4 separate regions of the Mus musculus genome follow, and regions 1, 2 and 4 are each reported to be linked to region 3. Evidence: microRNA targets listed by miRTarBase, many of them from high-throughput screens and not tested one by one. Region 3 holds a microRNA gene; each other region holds the end of a gene's coding sequence.
Evidence for each region. Region 3 holds the annotated microRNA mmu-miR-125b-2-3p (ACAAGUCAGGUUCUUGGGACCU, at 1,784-1,805, shown strand). A microRNA usually pairs through its seed, bases 2 to 8, with sites in the 3' UTR of a target mRNA and lowers its output. Matches are read on the target gene's strand: a 7mer-m8 pairs with bases 2 to 8, a 7mer-A1 pairs with bases 2 to 7 and ends in A, and an 8mer does both.

Region 1: miRTarBase lists Eef2k as a target of mmu-miR-125b-2-3p. The part of its 3' UTR that is shown has no 7-base or 8-base seed match.
Region 2: the mRNA of Nphp3 is a reported target of mmu-miR-125b-2-3p. Seed matches in the 3' UTR shown: 7mer-m8 at 1,376-1,382.
Region 4: miRTarBase lists Mrpl45 as a target of mmu-miR-125b-2-3p. Seed matches in the 3' UTR shown: 7mer-A1 at 3,487-3,493.

Annotation. Positions count from the first base shown.
Region 1 is chr7:120,902,785-120,907,855 of GRCm38, reverse strand. It overlaps Eef2k (eukaryotic elongation factor-2 kinase), which reads right to left. Exons shown (of 18, transcript NM_007908.4): 18 at 637-4,574. The coding sequence ends at 4,465. Among named protein-coding and RNA genes, the nearest start is that of n-TLaag4, 12 kb to the left of the region's middle.
Region 2 is chr9:104,041,379-104,046,449 of GRCm38, forward strand. It overlaps Nphp3 (nephronophthisis 3 (adolescent)), which reads left to right. Exons shown (of 27, transcript NM_028721.3): 27 at 574-2,433. The coding sequence ends at 754. It also overlaps the pseudogene Gm18998. Among named protein-coding and RNA genes, the nearest start is that of Uba5, 19 kb to the right of the region's middle.
Region 3 is chr16:77,644,535-77,649,608 of GRCm38, forward strand. It overlaps Mir125b-2 (microRNA 125b-2), which reads left to right and starts at 1,739; the gene lies at 1,739-1,809.
Region 4 is chr11:97,328,067-97,333,137 of GRCm38, reverse strand. It overlaps Mrpl45 (mitochondrial ribosomal protein L45), which reads right to left. Exons shown (of 8, transcript NM_025927.4): 7 at 4,879-5,052; 8 at 3,218-4,656. The coding sequence ends at 4,570. It overlaps Gpr179 (G protein-coupled receptor 179), which reads left to right. Exons shown (of 12, transcript NM_001081220.2): 12 at 1-1,028. Among named protein-coding and RNA genes, the nearest start is that of Mrpl45, 15 kb to the right of the region's middle.

The DNA of each region.
Region 1 (5,071 bases), not on the chromosome of region 3:
AATCTCCCTTCTCCAGCTTCTGCAGTGCTGGGGTTAGTCAATGAAGCCCCCAAACCCTGGATTTTGGATCCAGGGTTCTTGGCCATGCATTTCCCTATCTCCAGACTTTTGTTGTTCACACCTTTGGCTTCATCTTTATGAGCTTGTCTCAAAAACAATTTTTTAAAATCTCCTATCATTGGGGATATTGACTTAAATGTACATGATCTACTGTCATGGAGTTAAAACTCAAATTTCTTTAAACCCAACCAAACAAACAATTATCTTGAATCCAAATGCCCACGCCAGACAGCTCTGCAGCTCTCCACGAGCTTCAAAGCACCAAGTGCGCAGGATTTTCTCAGCAGCTCATGACAAACCTGCAGAGGGAATGACTGTTTTATAGCGGGACAAATCAAAAGCATCCACATTTTGATTCTATTTTATTTTATGTGCACTGGTGTTTTGCTTGCATGCATTTCTGGGTGAGGATGTCGGATCCCCTGGAACTGGAGTTACAGTTATGAGCTGCCAATGTGGGTGCTGGGAGTGGAGTCCAGGTCCTCTGTAATTAGCAGTCAGTGCTCCTAACTGCTGAGCCATCTCTCCAGCCCCTGCATCCACTATTTTACTCTAAAGCAAACTGATAGCGTAAGGGCCAGGTCGGAAAGGCTTTCTTTATTGGAATTTATTACAGATGTTAAAAACCAATGGCTATCATATTAAGAAGTTTTTCTACTGTGAAAAGCCAGCATGGGACCACGTTGGGCCCACACTGTGGGCGATGGAGCTCATGTTGAAGGTGAGCACATCCGCTCTTCGATCCATGCACGCTGCGGCTCACTTCAGCCTCCATGTAGATACATACTCATTTCTTGATTTGTATGTTTTCATAGGGAGGGGGAATGTGTGAGTTTGAGATATTTCAGAAAAAAACCCAAACTGTTGGGGAAGAGAAGCTAAAATCTGATACACACACAATTGCAGCCACACTTCAGCCAGTTGCCTTGAGGTCAGAGACAAAACGTTAAGGAAGAGGCACAAATCCAAGCAGGGAATGGGTAAATTTGTACCCTCCCCCCGCCCCCGATTCACTTCCATCTCGAGCTGCACAGACCTGTGCAAACGTTTGTGAATCTGCAAACCACACTTACTGATACAAAGATGCTGGGATGACGGTCAGCAAGGACAGATGGGGAAATCACTAAGTAGCCAAGGCTGGCCCAGCGTGCAGAGAGCAGGATTCTTCTGAAGTAGTGAGTTGGAGAATGTTTCTTTTTTACACTCATAAAGCTTGTATATTTTCCTTGCAGTGCTGGGGCCCAGACCCAGGACCTTGGCTGTATGCTAAGCACATACTCTAATCCTGTCTCATTGAAATTTCCCTGATACCTGTTGCAAAATGGAATGCGCCATCACAGTACAGTTAAATGTCTTTATTCCTAGAGTGCTCTGGAAACAGCAGCTCTCTGGCCCCTAGCTCCAGCTCAGCCTCAAGGAACAGCACCACTGTAGCCTGGTTTCTGTCTCTGAGATGAAAGCACGCATATCAGCTCTGTTAATCGAGGCTGTTACCTGCTTTGAGCACTGGAAGACAGAACTGATCATCAGTGCCAGGCACTGGCGTCTCCCTGCCAGAGCTGAATCCTGTCGGCTTGTTCTTGTCATGCCCAGCCTATATGGAAAGAGAAGATGCCCTGACCAGCTTTTGAAGGTCTAAGACTAAGTTTGGAAGGAGAAACAGCCATTAATTTTAAAGACAGAATCTCACTCTGTAACTTAGGCTTATGTGGAAGTCATGATGTAGCCCAATCTGGCATAAAACTCCCAGTGACCCTTCCATTTTAGCCTCCCAAGTGCTGTGCTGAGATTACAGGTTTGAACTATTTTTTTTTTTTATGATTTATTTTTATGTCCATCGGCGTTTGGCCTGCATGGTTGTGGGAGAGCATCGGATCCTTAAAACTGGAATTACAGACAGGTGTGAGCTGCCATGTGGGTGCTGGGAATTGAACCTGGGTCATCTGGAAGAGCAGCCAATGATCTTAACCACTGAGGCATCTCTCCAGTTTCCAGGGCTTTTTCTTTTTGAGACACAGTCTTAGTAAATAGCCCAGGCTGGCTCCAAACTCACAATCCTGCTTCAGCCTCCAAGTGGCAATATTACCCAGCAGGCTCTCCAAGCTCTCTTTTCATTCGCAAGGGTCCTTAAAGAGGCATTTGCTTAGCTGTGCACCAGGCTATCCCAGTCTCTTGGAGGAGAAAGAGACCACTTCTCCACATGAAGGCCACGTGGTTGGGGGAACTGCAGGCCTGAGGCTTTAAGTGATCCAGACAAGGACTAATCAATGAGTGAAGGATTCGAGTTTACAATTCCAGAATTAGAAAGGATAAGACAGACAGATCTCTGGAGTTCACTGGTCAGCCAGCAGAGCCTATTTGGCAAGTTCTAGGCCAGTGAGAGACTCAATGGAAAAAGGTGGCCAGCTCCTGAGGAACAAAATTGAGGTTGTCTGCTGACCAGCACACACACACACACACACCACAACTTATATGACAGTTACTCTGAGAGATTATGTCACAATAAACTGCTTCTTATGTTTAACATATACACTATGTTAGAACACCCACAGGACAACGCAAACCAGCTACTGTTCTGGTACTAATTAAAAAACAAAAACAAAAACAAAAAAACGGACAAGGGCCAATCTGTCAGAGAGAATCAGAAGTTATGGCTTCAAATGCAAATCCAGGGATTTTGGAACTTGCAGGTAGATGAAAGGAATTTTCAAGGGTAGTTTTTGCTATCTCATTTCTCTTACTGTTGTTTGTGTGTGTGTGTGTGTGTGTGTGTGTGTGTGTGTGTGTGTGTGTGTGTGTATGGGGGCTCTCTCGGGACACAGCACACAAGTGAAGATCAGAAGACAACTTGCAGGAGTTTGTTCCCTGCTTCCACGCGTGGGTCCCAAGAACAGAACTCAGATTGTCAGGTGAGGGTCGGCAGGAGCTTCATCCATGAGCCATCTAACTGGCTCTTTTCCTTGTTTGTTTTTTGGGGGCAGGGTCTCATTACATAGCCTAGGCTGGTCTCAAACTTTGATCCTTCTGCCTCTACCACCTGAATGCTGGGATTACAGATGTATACCATGGCCTCCAGCCCCCAAGGTTAAACTGACTCTGATTTTTCCCTCAAAGAACATACACCCTAGACTTTACAATCTACTGCTTCTACAAGTTTTTGATTGGGCAAACTCAATAGTGAAATCCTTAAAAGGCCTGTTTTAGCCAACAGGTGAGGATGGCTTGCATGTCCCACTCTGCTGTTCTGTTTTTTAAGCAAAGATAGAGGCGGTAGATCTAATATCAGTGGTCAAATCAAAGCGGGCCATTTCCCTGTGGCTGGAATAGCACTCCCATGAAATCTGAACTCCTTTTAAAGAGGAAGCTCATCAAAGTCCCAGACTGACCCTGGGGAAATGTCCTAACCCAGTCAGTGTTTAGACTCTTGTCCCCTCATTCTCAAACATCTTAGACAAATCCCAAGGGGCTGCAGCTGGAGGCCGCTTGCTGCAGATGACCTCGTGTTAAGTAAGGAAAACCTAGTCTCAAGCAGAAAATGACAAGGACAGCAGGCTGAGGGCGGAGTCCAAGAAACATCACATTAAGAAACGGCCAAACGGCCATGGAATTCTGCACAAGGATGCTTCAGTCACGTAGTGGATGTGGCCATGGTGTACAGAGGGCACTTCTGTTTGGAGGAAAGTTGCCCAGCTCCTAAGCCATGGTCTTACTGTGAATGCTTTGAGGTACAGCTGCTTCCACACCCCCAATGCAAGACTCAGAGGTAGTAAATACGCATGTATAAAGGCCAAACCTGTTTTTGAAAAATCTATATTACATAGCAGGTCTAAAAAAAAAAAATTTAGAAGGATGCCAGGAATCACATGTCCAGTGGAAGGGCATTAAGTGAAAGTTATACAACTATCTCCCCCAGCATGAAGGAGCCTGGGTATTGAACCATCTCACATCCACTGGAGGAAACAAACAAAAAAACAACATACCGCTCTCAAAACTGAAAGAAAGACCCATTGTGGAAAGCCAATAGAAAGGTTTCCCAGCACATGGCCTGGAGACCCTGAGATGTGAGTCCTGCCTGCAAAGGCTGGCGAGAGAAGCCCTGATACTGTCTGATCATCCAGACAGAAAGATACTTGCTTACATCTCAGGATGAAAAAGGGAAAACCGGGGGGTGGAGGACGGGAAAGAGACTCATTAGGCTGCATCTTCAACCCCCCACTTCCCCCAAAGTACCACCACTAAAAGGGCAGTTATAATGTCTCGGCCAGCTGCAAAGGCTATCAAGAGTGAGAAAACGGAATACAAAAGTGAGTTTATACCATAATAAAACTGCTTCTCCCCTCCCTAGAAATGAGTCCCATCCTCCCTTCCCCAGCCTTTCTCCTTGGCAGTGATTCTGTGGGGCAGTTATTCCTCCATCTGGGCCCAGGCCTCTTCCGCCTTCTCGTAGTACTGGTTGGCTAGCCGGCCCTTCATGGCTTCCATTGCTGCCTCAGCTGCCTGGGTGTACAAATCTCCTGAAAGAGAGCAGAGTGGGGGACAAAGAGGTGAGCCACTTGTCTCTATCAAGCCAGCAAACTTCATCCCATCCAAGAGAGCATCTGAGGTTTCTATAGCAACCTGAGCTGTATGGTATAATCCAAGTCTCTGGGGATAGCATATGATGAAAGCTCGCTGGCCAGAGCACTCTTCTAGTCTCTGGTGTCGCTATGGAACTCAAGAGTTGCCTGCTCTTCCACTGAGCCACACACCCGGCCCTGAAAAGGAATTTGTTTTCCTAGGCAACCAGTATAAATGACAGCTCAAAACTGACAAGAAGTATCTAATGTTGGGGACTCAGAAGTTAAGAGGACTTGCTTGCCTGTAAGAGGACCCACACTCAGTTCCCAGGATCCTCACGGGGAAGCTCACAAGTTACAGCTGGGATCCAGCACCCTCTCTGGACTCCACGGGTATGTATACACACTCGGCCTACATTCACACATACGCGTACATAAAAATAAAAAAAAGTTTA
Region 2 (5,071 bases), not on the chromosome of region 3:
TTTAGATACTCAAGTGGTACTCAGAAGCAGAGAGAAAGCAGGCTTACTTTTTGGAGGCGTGTACTGTGGACAGTAGTGAAGACAGCCTATACCAGCACTTCCTGCCTATGGGGTGACAGGGCTACGTACTAACCTCAGAGCTGATGAGTTAGGTGTGTGTTGAGTTTTGCTCACTCCTGTGCGTTCATCTCGGAATGCAGGTGATAACAACACTTAGCATTTTTTTATTATTTTTTTTTAATTAGGTATTTTCTTAAATACAGGGGAACACCAGGGCCAAGAAGTGAAAGTGGGTGGGTAGGGGAGTGGGGTGGGGTGGGGTGGGGGAGGGTATGGGGGACTTTTGGGATAGCATTTGAAATGTAAATGAAGTAACTACTTAATAAAATATTGGAAAAAAAGAAATGTAAATGAAGAAAATATCTAATAAAATTTTTTTTAAAAAAAGAAAGAAAAGAGTGCAGTGGGAATGGCAAATGAGTTGCAACTTGTTTTTCTGCACCTTGATGGCTACTTAGAAGCAAGAGTTTCTTGTTAATAGCAGTGCATCTCTCATGTTGTTTCCTCTCAAAGCTATGAAGAAGGGAATTTTGAAAAGGCTGCTGAACTGTACAAAAGGGCAATGGAGATAAAAGAAGCAGAGACATCACTTTTGGGTGGAAAAGCTCCTTCAAGGCAGTCATCAAGTGGAGACACATTTCTCTTTAAAACAACTCATTCCCCTAACGTTTTTCTTCCCCAAGGGCAAAGCTAACCGTCAATTCTTTGCAAGGATACTTCAAGATAAAACAGCTAAACATCTGGAATATTCTCAGTGTTTTTAAAGAAAATCTTTTTTTTCCATCTTAGTGTTATTTAGCTGGCATTTATATGACGTTGTATTGAGTTGCATTGAATTGTCGTGTCAAGTTTAAATTGATTAAAGAACCTGTTTCCTATGGGATAAAATCCAGGATGACGACATCAGCACTCAGTGGCATGAGGAGTGGCTTGGTCTCTGCAACAAGAGCTGGCAGGACCCCATGGTTTAAGAAATCCACAGTTCTTTTCTCTCCCTCAAGAGCAGCCTTAGCTCTGGCCATTCACTGTCTGTTCCTAGCAGGGCTCTGAGCCAGTTCTCTACCTCAAAGAACTTTCAAGGGCTAAAGGGATGTTGATAATATAAATAATATAAAGGGATGTTGATAATGAGTCGGAACAGTCTTCAGTGAAACGAGCTAGATAGGAACTCTGTTTGTTTTCCTTTTTCTGGGTTTGTGTGTGAGGATGTGCGCGCGCGCGCACACACACACACACACACACACACACACGTGTGCATGTACACATGGAGGACAGAGGTCAGCCTTGGGTATCATTCCTCAGGCGCTGTCCACCGTGACTTGTTTTTGTTTTTGGTTTTTGAGACAGGGTCTCAGTGACCTGGTGCCCTTAATTAGTCTGCCTGGCAGTCCACATCCTAGTGACCCACACCCCTGCCTCTCTCTCCTAAGACCGGAGCACAAGCTTCCATCTCTACCCCCAGTTCTCTAAAGTGGGCTCTGGGGGTTGAACTTGGGTCCTTATGCTGACATGGCAGACGCTTCACAAACTGAGCTATCACCCTAGCCTCTTACCACATTGTGAATCTCTGTAGCTCGGGGTGACCATGAACTCTTGATCACTCCCCACTCCCCCGGAGTGTTGGGACCACAGAGGCATGCCTCCACAGCTGGCTTGGCTTTTAGGCCTTCCTCTTCCCTAAGCTGGTTTAGCCAGCCTCCGCTTTCTGTGCTGTCTCCAGGAAGCTTCTCACAGTGCTGCAGCGTCGCCAGTGACAACATGCGTGCCACCACAGGTGCCAGTGACGACATGCGTGCCACCACAGGTGCCAGGCTCTTTACCATTCTCATCTTGCTTACTGTGGGACAGGTCTAAAAAGTCAACTACTCGTGAGCTGAGGCACAGGTTTTCAAGGTCAGTACCAGCTTAGAGTATGGGGTGAGTTCAAGGCCAGCCTGGGCACCTTAGTGAGACCTTGTCACAAAATAGAATAGAGCTGAAGGCACAGCAGTAGAATGCCTCGGACCCTGGGTTTAGTCCTCAGCACACACACACATACAAAAAGCCATGACAAATCCATTTCCTTCGTAAATGGTCAAAATCAGTCTTGCCTTACCTCGCTTAGTTGGTGTTTTTATACTGGAAATTAAATATTTTTATAGATTTGATAAATATTGCCACATTTTAGATATTTGTTTTTATTTGTATATAGTAAAATTTTCAATGATTTAAAATCTTATAAGATCTCAATATGTATTATTGTAAAGATGACAGGCATAAAAAATGTATGTTTTAAAATAAAAGTGTAATTGCAAGTTCTCTCATTTTGCAGTCTGTATTAGAGGGCTATTTTGCATAGTTATTTAAGAATAAACTTTGAACATGTTTCAGCAGACTTGAATTTTGGCCAAGTTTAGTCAATAGTTTGCTCAACTTGAAGAACTGTGGTGACCTCAGGGTGTGCCCAGTGTCACCAACTCCTGGTGGATGCAGAAGCCAGTATCATCACCAGCCAACACTTACTTACAATTTAGACGTAACCTTGAGGTCCCTCCCTGAGCCCGCTCAGAAGCAGCCTGAGAGCTAGGTGGCCAGGTCAGTCCTGCCAAAGCTTTGAGTTTAGGAAGCGTCGCTAAAGTCTACACACTTGTAAGTTAAATTAGACAGGACATGACAAAATGAGCTTTCTTCTTCCACCTTCTGAGGGAGGCTCAGAGGAACTAAAAAGCTAAAATATGACCATAACCTATCTTTGGAGTTTGCCCCCTCTGAAAGGTACAAATAACAGAATTCATAAGCATATTAGACATTGATTTTTACAACTAATATATCAAAGCTTAAAATCTATTTCATGACTAATGTAATACACTAAAAGTATAGTATTAATCACCTTTTTAAAAAAAAAACTTTAAATAATCTGTGACCAGTACTCTAAAAGACTCTTCAAATCAGCATAGTCTTTGTTCTTCTAAAACTTAGATCTGAGAATTATACAAAATATTTTAGAAACTGCAGTGATATCTCATTGACTTTATGGTACAAATGATAACAGAAGTGGTCACTAAATTACATATTTCCTTTTTTTCTAAATTAAACATTCAAATTTAGTACATAATAAGATCATGATTTTACCATTTATTGCACTAACTGTGTTCTTTGCCTCATGAGAATGCTAAGAGCACCTGCACCAGACATTTGTGTGAGGATGTGTGATTCCCAAGCAGTAGGATACGCTCCCATTAACAGATACTTGCTTCACATATATTGGTGTTAGCATAGATGTGATTCTCAGATTGTGTTCATGCTAACATACACCCCCCACACACAGTGAAATGGTAATTTTCAGACACTCCCTAATAAAGAGCTGGCAGGAACCAAACTTTGCTCTAAGTTGTCTTCAGTACTTGACAGAAGGGGAATCATGAAAAGCAGAATTGTCACCTGGGGAGGTCAAGGCTTCTCTGACATAAAGTAGCTGCCTTTTCCTCTGGTTCTACATTTGTGGGTGTCCAGGATGATGAGAAGAAACCCCAAAGATCTGCGCGGAGCCACAGATCACCTTTCTGCTAGCAGTAAGGAGCCAAAGCTGTGACGGGCTTTACTGCCTAGACTCAGACTCTAGAGTCAGTGCTAAGACGGTGAGGGACTCCTTGCCTTTGTTAGGACCCAGTGTGTAGAAATTCAGCTGAACGGCTAGAAGCTCTCTGACAATTCTCATCCACTGCCTGCTGGCCCTCGGGCTCTGTGGCTGCAGGCTACAGGGAGAACTCTATTGGCTCACAGGTGCCTGCTGCCTACTTGGTTTTGTTTGTTTGTTTGCTTGCTTGCTTGCTTGAGATAACCCAGTAGTGAACTACTGGGTAAGAGGGAAAAAAAGAAGAAGAAAAAAGAGAGATACATTAGAATTTGGTACAGAAAGCAGATCTTTAAAGGATGATGGATCCTATGTGTTATGCCTTAACAAAACCTGAAAGTTCAAGACTTGATTAAACCTTAGAAAATTCATGGACCATTAATTCTAAAGAATTATTCTAGAAAAAAATGTACCTCATCTTAAAATTTACAACATGTCTAGTGATTTAAAGTTATTCTCCAATCCAATATGCTTAAGTTCTGTTAAAACATTTGTAAAAATTTATCATGGCAACATAAATGTTAAGTTTCAAAGCTAGAAGCATTCAACTTCATTATAAATATAAAAATCACCTATAGAGGCAGGCTCGTGGACCAGTGACACCCAGAAATTAAAGAGTTTTTTGGGACCTGGGAGGTCACAGACAGCTGTTCAGTGGCTGTCATCATGCCACAAAATGAATATACTGTATTGCACCGCAAACAATATGGATATCGTTCGGACTACCATGAGAAAAAGAGAAAGAAAGAAAGGTTGGGAGGCCCATGAGCATTCAAAGAAGGCAAAGCTTTACCATAAAACAGCGCCATGCCCAAAAAATACAAGTGAAAAAAAACTATTAAGATGCATGAAAAGAGAAACACCAAGCAGAGAGAGGGATGATGGGAAGACTCCACAGGGAGCAGTCCCCGCCTGTCTGCTGGACAGAGAGGGGCAGTCCAGAGCAGAAGTACTTCCCAACAGGATTAAGCAGAAACAAAAAGGAAAGGTGGGAAAATGGAAGGTCCCTCTCCCAAAGTTCGTGCCCAAAGAGAAACAGAAGTATTGAAAGTTATTCAAACAGGAAAAAGGAAAAAGAGGGCATGGAAGAGAACGGTTACTAACGTCTGTTTTGTTGGTGATGGCTTTACAAGAAAACCACCTAAGTATGAAAGATTCATTAGGCCTATGGGTCTACGTTTTTAAAAAGCCCATGTCACGTACCCTGGGCTAAAAGCCACCTTTTGCCTGCCTATACTTGGTGTGAAAAAGAATCCATCATCCCCATTATATACAACCCTGGGTGTGATCACCAGTGAAGTGAATGTGAAGGGTGCACCAATGCGGTCTTGCTGGTTTGACAGTGACGTCACTCATACACGTCATTCCACTCAATCCCGAAGACCACACCCTGCCAGG
Region 3 (5,074 bases):
CCCGACTCTCTCCGTGTGTCTGTGTGCCTGTGCGCGCGCGCGTGCTCGCTCGGGCATCCGTGTCTAGCCGAGGGGAGGGGGTGGCGTGTGAGTGCGTGGAGGGTAAAAGCCAGTCAGTCAGTGAGAAGCAAAGGTACGTTGGAGAGCAACTAAAATCTGACTGATTTCCATCTTTGGAGCATCAGATGTATTCCCTAAGGAGGATGGGTCTCCGTGATGGGGGTGGTATAATTATGTTAATGTCATATTTATGGAGGGGTGAGATTTTTCATTCTAATAATTGGTTGAATGCTATGGTCAAAAATTGTAAAGCCATATTCAGTTTTAAGGAAAAAGCATGGACTTTTATCTAAGTACTGTTTTGTTTTATTTAATTTTATTTTTTTTCCTCTTTGCTTTTTGTGAATGCTGCTTTTTGGTTGTTTCTTTTGGTTTTGGTTTTATCTTTTTTTTTTCTTCTATAAAACTATTTATTTGGGGCCATAAGTGATTCAGTATGGGAAATCAAATGATAAACAGAAAGAGATCTTATATAATGATGCATTACATCACGGAACAGAATGCTTAAGTCTTACAAGGCAAAGTAAAGATCTGGGCAGGGGTGAAGGGGGGTGGTGGTTAGAAAGGGGTGTGGTACTAGGGTGGGGGAGGGGAACACTTAGCAAATATTTTGTTCAGCATAGCTTTCCTTGCAGCTTCCTGGAAATGGATGGTTCACCTGCCTAGAGGAAAACACTCTAAATCATTCCATTTCTCTCTCTCTCTCTCTCTCTCTCTCTCTCTCTCTCTCTCTCTCTCTCTCTCTCTCTCTCTCTCTCCCCCTCTCTCCTTTTCTAACCCCCCTGCTTTTCCCTTTTAAGATCAACCACTTCTGAAGAACCAGATTCCACTTCTGTGGCCAGGAGTTTTATGCTGTGCTAAGTGTGATTGTTTTGCCCTGCATTCTGTGCTACTAAACCTTGGATCATTCCTAAAGTCCAGATTCTGCTCTTTCACAACAAGGCGAAAAGATGGGAGAGAATTTGATGAATAGTCAGGATTGAGACTGTGTATTTTCAAAAGTATTGAACTATATAATGTAATTATTCAAAGTAAAGGATCTTTTTTTGTTTTCTTACTATGTTGCCAGGATTTTAAGTTAAAGCTTGTTAGGTGGTCTTGTTCAAATAACTATGAAGTGTGCATGAAAATATTTGCTGTCTGAATAGTTTGCATATTTAAAGAGAAAAATCAACATTAATAGGTATTAAATTATGACATATTCAAAGTTTTTGTTTAAATCTTATCTGTAATAATTTAAATGAGAGTTTGAAGTGTTGTATATCCTGGGCCCACAGTAACAGTTGTGATATATAAAACTTCAATAGAAGCAAAATATCAATTAGGGCCCCATTAACTGGCATATAATCCTTTTTTAGTGTAATAGAAGTGGGTGTTGCTGTAAAAATCTGCAAGGAGCATATTTTAACCCATTTTTGTCTCCTTCTTTGGATAGAATGGGGTGATTCTTAAATGTCCATTGTCTGCTTTGTTTTTCATGCCCCACATTACTGTAAGTTCTGATCTATAGGTGGCCGTCCTGATTATTCAGCTCATCTTTGACTTTCATGTGTTACTTATGTTTCTGTCTGTGTGTTTCAATTAGTATTTAGAAGATTAAAAATAAATGAACCCAACTCTAATTCCCAAGCTGTCCGTTTACCTGGAAGAAGAATTCTCCTGCATCACACGAGACTTTGCCTAGTCCCTGAGACCCTAACTTGTGAGGTATTTTAGTAACATCACAAGTCAGGTTCTTGGGACCTAGGCGGAGGGATACCAGCAGCTTGGGACCTTATTGATTCTCGGCATAAACCACCAGAACAAAAGAACAGGCATAGATTCTGCATAGGCGCAAAGAACAATGGTTTTCTTTCTAATCAGCAAGGGTTTCACCATGACAACACCCCCAAAATACAATCTTCAGAATCGGTACTCTAAAGATATGGCACAGTAGAATAGAAATAGCGTTTGTATTTACTGTGATTATCGTATAAAAGTGTTGTAAGAGATATGTACAAGAAGTAGAATTAAAACACAAGTTCTTTTTAAAAAAATAAACATCGCTTTGGGTGTGTTTTAAGATGAAGAAGATTCATTGTAAGAGTTGTTTATATTCATAAGTTTTTGTATGCGTAGAATTATATACATTAGTTATTTCAATAAATTATGCATGCTTCCATAGAACTGTGGCTTAGACTACGTCAAATGAGATTCTAATCATACTCGAGGCCTGAAAAAGAAACGATTTACAGTTTTCTTTATTGATCTTATTCTTGTTGATACTAATATGAGAGAATATTGTTTTATACATGGTAATTTTAGCCAGTGTTTCCTTAGTCTTTTGCCCACACATAACAGTATATATGTATGAACAACTGCCTTATTCTGAGATTCACAAAGTATATATTTAGGGAAAATACAGTGCTTTTGAATTTCTACATTTCACTTTGTGTGTGTTATAAAGCATTAGAGAATGCCTATGAACTCAGCTGCTCTTGTTCACATGTAAAACACGTCTGAGATGCAGGCTTTGATCAGAATTTTCATTACCAGAAGTAAATATTCCATCCATAGCCTGTGTGACTTATTAGTCAATGATACATTAAACATGTGTTTTTTTTGATCTATAATCAATAAATCTATTCCAAATATACAGTAACATTGCAGAAATTTAGGCTTAAAACAAGGTGGCTTTCATAACACAGGCAAGAGTGACTTTGGTGTTTTAACTCTGATGTTTCACCGTAAATTGTTTTCTCCATTAGTAAATAAACCTATGAATCTATTTTAGGATATCATGTGGAGTCTTTGTTCTGTTTTTGTTAAGGTTGTTACTATTGCTCATTACTTGAAATATCAAAAAAATGCAAAGCATCTTTATTGTTTCCTAAAAATAATATAATAGTATCATAAACACAGACTACGTTGAAGTTTGTGTTGATGTCGTATCAACACAAAGAATCTTTTTAGATTCTTTCCTGGCCTCACCCCTGTCATTTATCTAGAAGCTTTAAAATCTAAGTGTGTATATAAGCATGTTTTACGACTCCATGTGAAAGGAGTAAATATAAAGTCAGAACTTTTCTTTAATCACAAAGAACTCTATGTATGTGTATCTGTGAGCATCACACAAGCTTGATTCTATTTAACAGAAGCTTTACACAGATGATCAGAGAGGAGTGTGTTTACTAACACCTGTTTTATGATAATCATAAACGATATGCAAGTGTTACTTCATCAGTTGAAATCCACAATGAACTAGGGAATAATAGTAGTCAGCTATGATAGCAAAAAATTTAAATGTAAAGGTTTTCTGTTTATGCTATGATAATGAACAGTAGTATATATTAACTTAGATTTTATAGGAGAAAAAAATGCTAAAATAAATTTCACTTCTCCTGAACATCACATATATCATATATGATATACATCATGTATCTTGCAATTTTGAACATTCTCTGTGCAAAGCATGTGTTGTGTGAGAATACTACTCACAAACAAGTCTTATGCTATAAAGGTGTGTGTGTGTGTGTGTGTGTGTCTGTGTGTGTGTGTGTGTGTGTGTGTGTACATCAGACTTTGTTTCATAAGCTACTTTATGTTGTGTGTGAATGGATGTGACTATCTCTGCATTTCTCTCTCAGCTGTCACCAGATAATGCAGTTCTGTGGATTCATAATGTGACTTGGAAAACCAGATCATTCTAAGCTTAAAATAAACAAAAAGATAAACAACAAAGAGTGAGAAGATGATGTGGTTTGCATACAAAACGCAGTGATATTAGCAATCTGATGGCTTCTGGATTGGGAGAGCAGCCTGAGCCAGACGCATACATTAAGAGCTGTCTGCTGCCCATGTGAGCTTGCTCAGTGTATTGGAAATGAGGGATCACCTCTCCTCTGACACCAGCTTATTTGTACATTTTAATTTTGAAGTAGCAAGTCACTGTTCCAAGTTCATAGACTAACCCCTGCTTGTTTCTCTCTCTCTCTCTCTCTCTCTCTCTCTCTCTCTCTCTCTCTCTCTCTCTCTCTCTCTCTCTCTCTCTCTTATTGTTTGCTAAATTACTGTCAACTTCACATTCTTTTTAGAAATAAAAATCATTACTCAACTTAGCCATTTACTGCACACTAATGAAATAGTAGTTTTCCTTTGTCTCCGTTGTGTGCCTCTAACAATATTGTGATACCTGTGTTTTTAGGTTTAGATCTCTTTCAAGGGGAACTGGACTTATTTTTTTCTACATGACAATGTTTAAAGCATTTTAGAATCCATAAAGGAGACCATTTGGAATTTTGCCAGATCTTAATATGATTATATTTTCCTTTAGGATTCTCGAGATCAATATCACTCTCAGTTTAAAATTCCTAAACATTTCAGTCTTCCACTGACACAACAGAAGCGTAGACATATTCTTAAGTCATTTCATAATCTCCCAAGGAGGAATCTCCCAAGGAGTATCTCAGGGGAATTACAGTAAAAATTAATTATTAATGAAATTAGAAAAGGTGGGGCTTACCTTAAACTCATCTTCAAAATGGCATGCTGGTACACGTGCTAACCTTGAACGAATATATTTTAAATATGCAAATGACCTTGCAAGCTGTCATGTTTGGATGAGTTTATAGTATAGCAACATACAAAGGGGGGCTGAAGCTCAAGTTTCCTTGCCATTTTCACATGCAATGCAGCCTCCTTGTTCATAGGCAGCCAAGGAAGGCACAGTTTTGATGCCTGGATTCTTTTGTCTGATTTGTTAGTAGACTTTTAATTCAGTATTCAAATCCCACTGATCCCTAAGTGACTGCATCTGAAAAAAAGCAAGCAAGTTTCCAAATATAGATGAGTTTAAAAAAAAAAGAAAAAGAAAAAGAAAATCTTGAGAGTTTGTAAACATTTGAAAATAAAGTTTTTCCCTGTAGCTCTGCAAATACATAATTAGTAGGCTGAAATTCAGTTGCTATTTTTTAACCTATGCATCAGTTTCATGTTTAGTGTCCTTATCCATCAATGATCAAATAGTCATTAGTGT
Region 4 (5,071 bases), not on the chromosome of region 3:
GACAACAGAGAACAGAGAAGGAGAGACGCTCTCTCAGGGCCCTCCCACACTGGACAAGGTGTTCTTCCCGATGTCTCCAGGAAGCCTCTTCCCATATTCCTGCCCCAGCTCTTGCCACGTCCAGGCCCCACCTCACTGCCTCCTCCTCCTTGTCTTTCTGTAGTCAGCAAGCGGACCCTCTTTTTAGTAAATGTAACTGGTGCCAAGGAGGAATCTCTGGTTCTCAAGCAAGAACTTGACTCTAACTCACTCAGATCTCTTCCCAGAGGAGCCTGGGAAAGAATAGAGGGCCTGTTCAATCCGAATCCCAACCACTATCAGAAAGAGTAGCGCTCCCCAGGGCCGGGAAAGGCACCTCGTGAGTACAAAGCCTCTTTCTCAGCCGTCCACCCGCAGCTTGGCTCTCCTCTCCACAATCAGTTTAGGCCACCTTGCTTAAGCAGTGCGAGATGACAGGGTTGGTGTCATGTGATGGGAAACTAAGAAGGAGAAAAACTTATACAGAGGTTCCAGCTTGAGAGAGGGAGATGGGGGTGAAGACAAGCAGGCTAATGTGGCAGAGCCAGCAGGCAGGGGCATTAAAGACAACGGTGTAAGTCCCACCCTCTAACCGGAGTGATACAGGTGCTGTTTAAGAGGTAGAAAACCTCAAATGAGACCAAATGCCTGGTGGGAGAACCAGGAGTCCACATGCAAAATCGCTGAACAGACTCAGAGCCTCAGAGAAAAGCAACCGAATGCTCCACTTCTGAAAGAGAGTCGCCTGGTCTCCTTTGGGGGCCAGTGGCCCTCATTCCCACACTAAGCCCTCCTACCTACCCAGCTCTCCTGCGCTGGGTTTCTACAGCTGTATTGTTCTGCGGCTGTGGTTACTTAACCCCACAGCTTCTGAGCTATGGTAGACTTCACTAACTGTGCACCCTAGAGCAATCCCACTGGGTCTGTTCTAGCTGGGACGAGCATCGTTATCCCCGTATTACTGTTATAAATAGCCACCTAGGAAAATAATAAAGAATGCTTGTTCTCGGCTCCTGTGGTCGGCTCCAGCTTATTGATACTGGTGGTTTTCTTTGTCAACAGAGGGACAGCAGACAGAGCAGTGCCTGCTCCAAGGCCTGCTCCCTGTACCTGATAGGACTTGGGGTGCGGTAGGTCCAGCTTATTCTCTGCCGTGCTAACAGATGCTCTCTGCCTTGCTCTCCAGGCCAACCCTTCACATCTGGGCCCATTTGCTCAACTGGATTTGGTCCCAGAGGAAATGAAATTGCACTTATCCTTTGGCTTCCTGGTGGCAGCTATTGCTTAGCAGAGATTTAGGACCATCCAGAGACCCAGAGTCAGATCCATGGCCATGGGATGAAAGAGCTCATCTAAATCACTGTTTTTCATACATTCAAGAGAAATCAATGTTACCATGTACCTATTGAGTGAGCTCTTTTGTTTCTCTGCTTCTCTTCCCTGCTGGGATTAACTGCCTTCCTTCTTACTCCCCGGCTATGGATCCAGCTCAAAGCGCTTCTTATTTTGCCTTAATCCAGGGCTCAGGCAAATAGGATGTGTCCAAGCCTCACTTGGACAGTAATGCTGCAAAGTGATGCACATTTTAAGCCTGGAGGGTTGAGACTAAACAGGGTGAGACTGGCTGCCTCAGAATAGACACACACACACACACACACACACACGCTGTTATGAAAACACCAGGCTTGGGCCAGGAAGGTTGCTCAATGGGTAAAACTATCTGTGGTGCCAACTTAACAAAAATTCAGTTCCTAGAATCCACACTAGAAGGCAAAATCTGTCCTCTGACCTCGGTCTGAAAGTTGGCTCGTGCACACATTCACACTCAAACACTCCTGCACATTTAATAAATAAATAAATAAATGATAAATAATAACATTGATGAATGGATGATAACATCCCCCACTAAGGCCTCTCCTGTTTGCAGCTTCTCTGAGAAGGCAGGTTTGGAAAAACGACAGGTCATTTATTTCTGACCCAACTCCTGCTTCTTTTACCCTACTCTAGACAGACTAACTCTGACCTGAAGTGACAAAGAAAATTTTAGTCTGGAGAAAAATTAAGTATGAGAACTTAGGCTCTCATTTCTCCTGTGTTGTTGAACCTAGAGCCTCATACACACAGAAACCAAACCAAACCAAACCAAACCAAACCACTCTACCTACTAAGCTGTATCTCCAGCAGGCCGTTTTTAAACAAGAACTCAAAAGCACTATGAAGCAAGCCTGTGGCTGGAAAAGTAAGATTCCCCTTGTCATGCCCAGATCTCCCAGGACACTGAGCATCAACCCCTGACCCTCTTCTCCAAGCAGCCCCAGCAGAACAAGGACTGGGCTGCTGCACTGCACGCTGGCTTGCACTCTGGTCCTGGGCTGGAAGGCATAGCCAGCATCTTTGTGAGGTACAAGAAATCAGAACCGAATCTTACTGATTTCCCCCTAAGAATGAACCCTGGCTTGTCCTTGCTTCCTCCTAAACTTCCTACAGTGTTCTTTTCTCTTTAAGATAGGATCTCACTGGGCTGGAGAGATGGCTCAGTGGTTAAGAGCACTGGCTGTTCTTCTAGAGGTTCTGAGCTTATTTCCCAACAACCACATGGTGGCTCACAACCATCTGTAATGGGATCTGATGCCCTCTTCTGACACACAGATGTACATGCAGTTAGAGCACTCATACATTAAATAAATAAATCTTAAAAAAAAAACTCACTCTATAGCCCTGGCTCTCCTGGAACTCCTCATGTAGACTAGGTCAGCCTTGAACCCATAGATCCACCTGCCTCTGCCTGAGTGCTGGTACTCTTCCTTGGTAGTCTAGTCTAGCTGGGCGGGGACAAGTCCAATACCTAAAAATAAAATGCAGGCTGGGCATGGTAGTTCATACCTTCCATGAGAAGGATCACTGCATGTTTAAGGCAAGCCTGGGCTACATTTATCAAATTTCAGGCCTTCTCTCAAACAAAACAGAATACATAAAAGCTGAAGAACGGTCAGGCTTGTTAGTGCACACCTTTACTTCCAGCACTCAAGAGGCAGAGGCAAGCAGATTCCTCAGTTCAAGGCCAGCCTGGTCCAGGACAGAGGGCTATTACACAGAGAAACTCTGTCTGTGGCAGGGGTGGGAGTGGGGAAGCTAAAGACCAATCCCCCCCACTTTGATTTATATATAAAATAAGATAAAGTAATTTTAAGCTGGGTATGGTGTAGCACTCCTTTAATCTCAGGCAAAGGGGGAGGGAGGATGGGAGGCAGATCTCTATAAGGGAGGCTAGCCTGGTATACAAAGCAAGTTACAGGGATGTTACACAGAGAAACCTGAAGAAAAAAAAATTAAAACATCTATATTAAAGAGATCTTTTAAAGTAGTATTCTGGGATGGAAAGATGGCTCAGTAGCTAAGAATACTTGTTACAGGTTGGAGATGGCTCAGTGGGTAAGAACACTGACTGCTCTTCCAAAGGTCCCGAGTTCAAGTCCCAGGAACCACATGGTGGCTCACAACCATCTGTAATGGGATCCTCTTCTGGTGTGTCTGAAGACAGTGACGGTGCACTCACACACATAAAATAAATACATCTCAAAAAAAAAAAAAAGAATACCTGTTGCTCTTGCAGAAGACACAGATCCAGTTCCTAGCACCTGTGGTGGTTCACAACCATCCGTAACTCTAGTTCCAGGGGATCTGACACCCTCTTTGGACCTCCAAGGGCACCAGCCATGCGTGTAGTACATAAACACAGGTGCAGACAGAACACTCAGGCATATAAGATTAAGTGACTTTTAAACTGTGTGTTGCCAAGGATGGCATCTAGTTCCTGGTCCTCTTCTTGCCCCAACTTCCCACGTGGCAGGACTGTAGCAGGGTGCCCTAGTTTGTAGACACTCTAAGGTCTTCCCATCTAGAGTTCCTGGAAGCCGCATCACTTATAACTATACTGCTTTCCCATGCCTGACATCACAGAACCGCTCCGTCCCAGTCTGAACCAGGGAAAATGTACAGAACACACAGTTTATCCAACTCTTTGACAGTATTTTATTCCAAATGCTGACTCGGCCTATAATTAGAAAAAAGAAAGCTGTGGGTCTGATGCCACAGCTTGCTGCTGCTGGGAAAAGCCCAGTGTCGCGTTTGTTCTCTCTGCTGCTGCTTCTCATTTCACCTCAGAAGCTGAACATGGCTGTAAACAGAAGATGCTCCAAGGCGGGGCACCCCAGCCACCACCTGGCCACACAATCAGCCATGACTGTGAGGGGCTTGGGGGACTGCTGACCCAGGCAGGACAGGAGACAGCACGGGAAGCCTTCGGGGTACAGGTGGGTACAGGTGACTTTGCAGCCCCATCGGAACACCTCAGGAGTCTTTTTGTCTTTTTTCTTTTTGTTTTTTTTTCCTGAGACAGGGTTTCTCTGTGTAGCTCTGGTTGTCCTGCAACTTGCTCTGTAGACCAGACTGGCCTTGAACTCACAGAAATCCACCTGCCTCTGCCTTCTGAGTGCTGGGATTAAAGATGTTCACCACAACTGCTAGGCTCCTCAGGAGTCATTAACGCCATCAGGCTAGCTGAGGCTTCTGGGCCTCCCCTTGAGTCTCTTCGTACTCCTCCCAGGGTTTCAGCTGAGGACCAGGAATCATCAAGGTCTGAAAAGAACAGGAGGAACTCAAGTTACCTACCAATCCCACCTACTGTTTACCCAGGATGTCCTCCTCCCGCAGCAGCATCCAGGGAAAGTTCCCCTTCCCTAGAGCTGCATCACTCCGTCTCGCCACTAGGTGGAGCCTAAGAAGAGCGTTTGAGCTTGACAAGGCTATCTACATACAGCTTCAAGTTTGCTCTTAGAGCGTGCAAGCAGCCTTCTTTACCTTGAGGATGGGCTGCTTAGGGGGTGCCCACGCGGGCACAATCTTGGCATGCATTCTCCAGCTCCCATACGGGTTCATCAAGTGTCTTTCAAACACCACATATTCCAGGACATCCTTGGGCACATCTTCCTGTCCATACATCAATCTGCCAAACCGATCATAAATGGCCAAAGTCTGCAGTGAGGAAATAAAA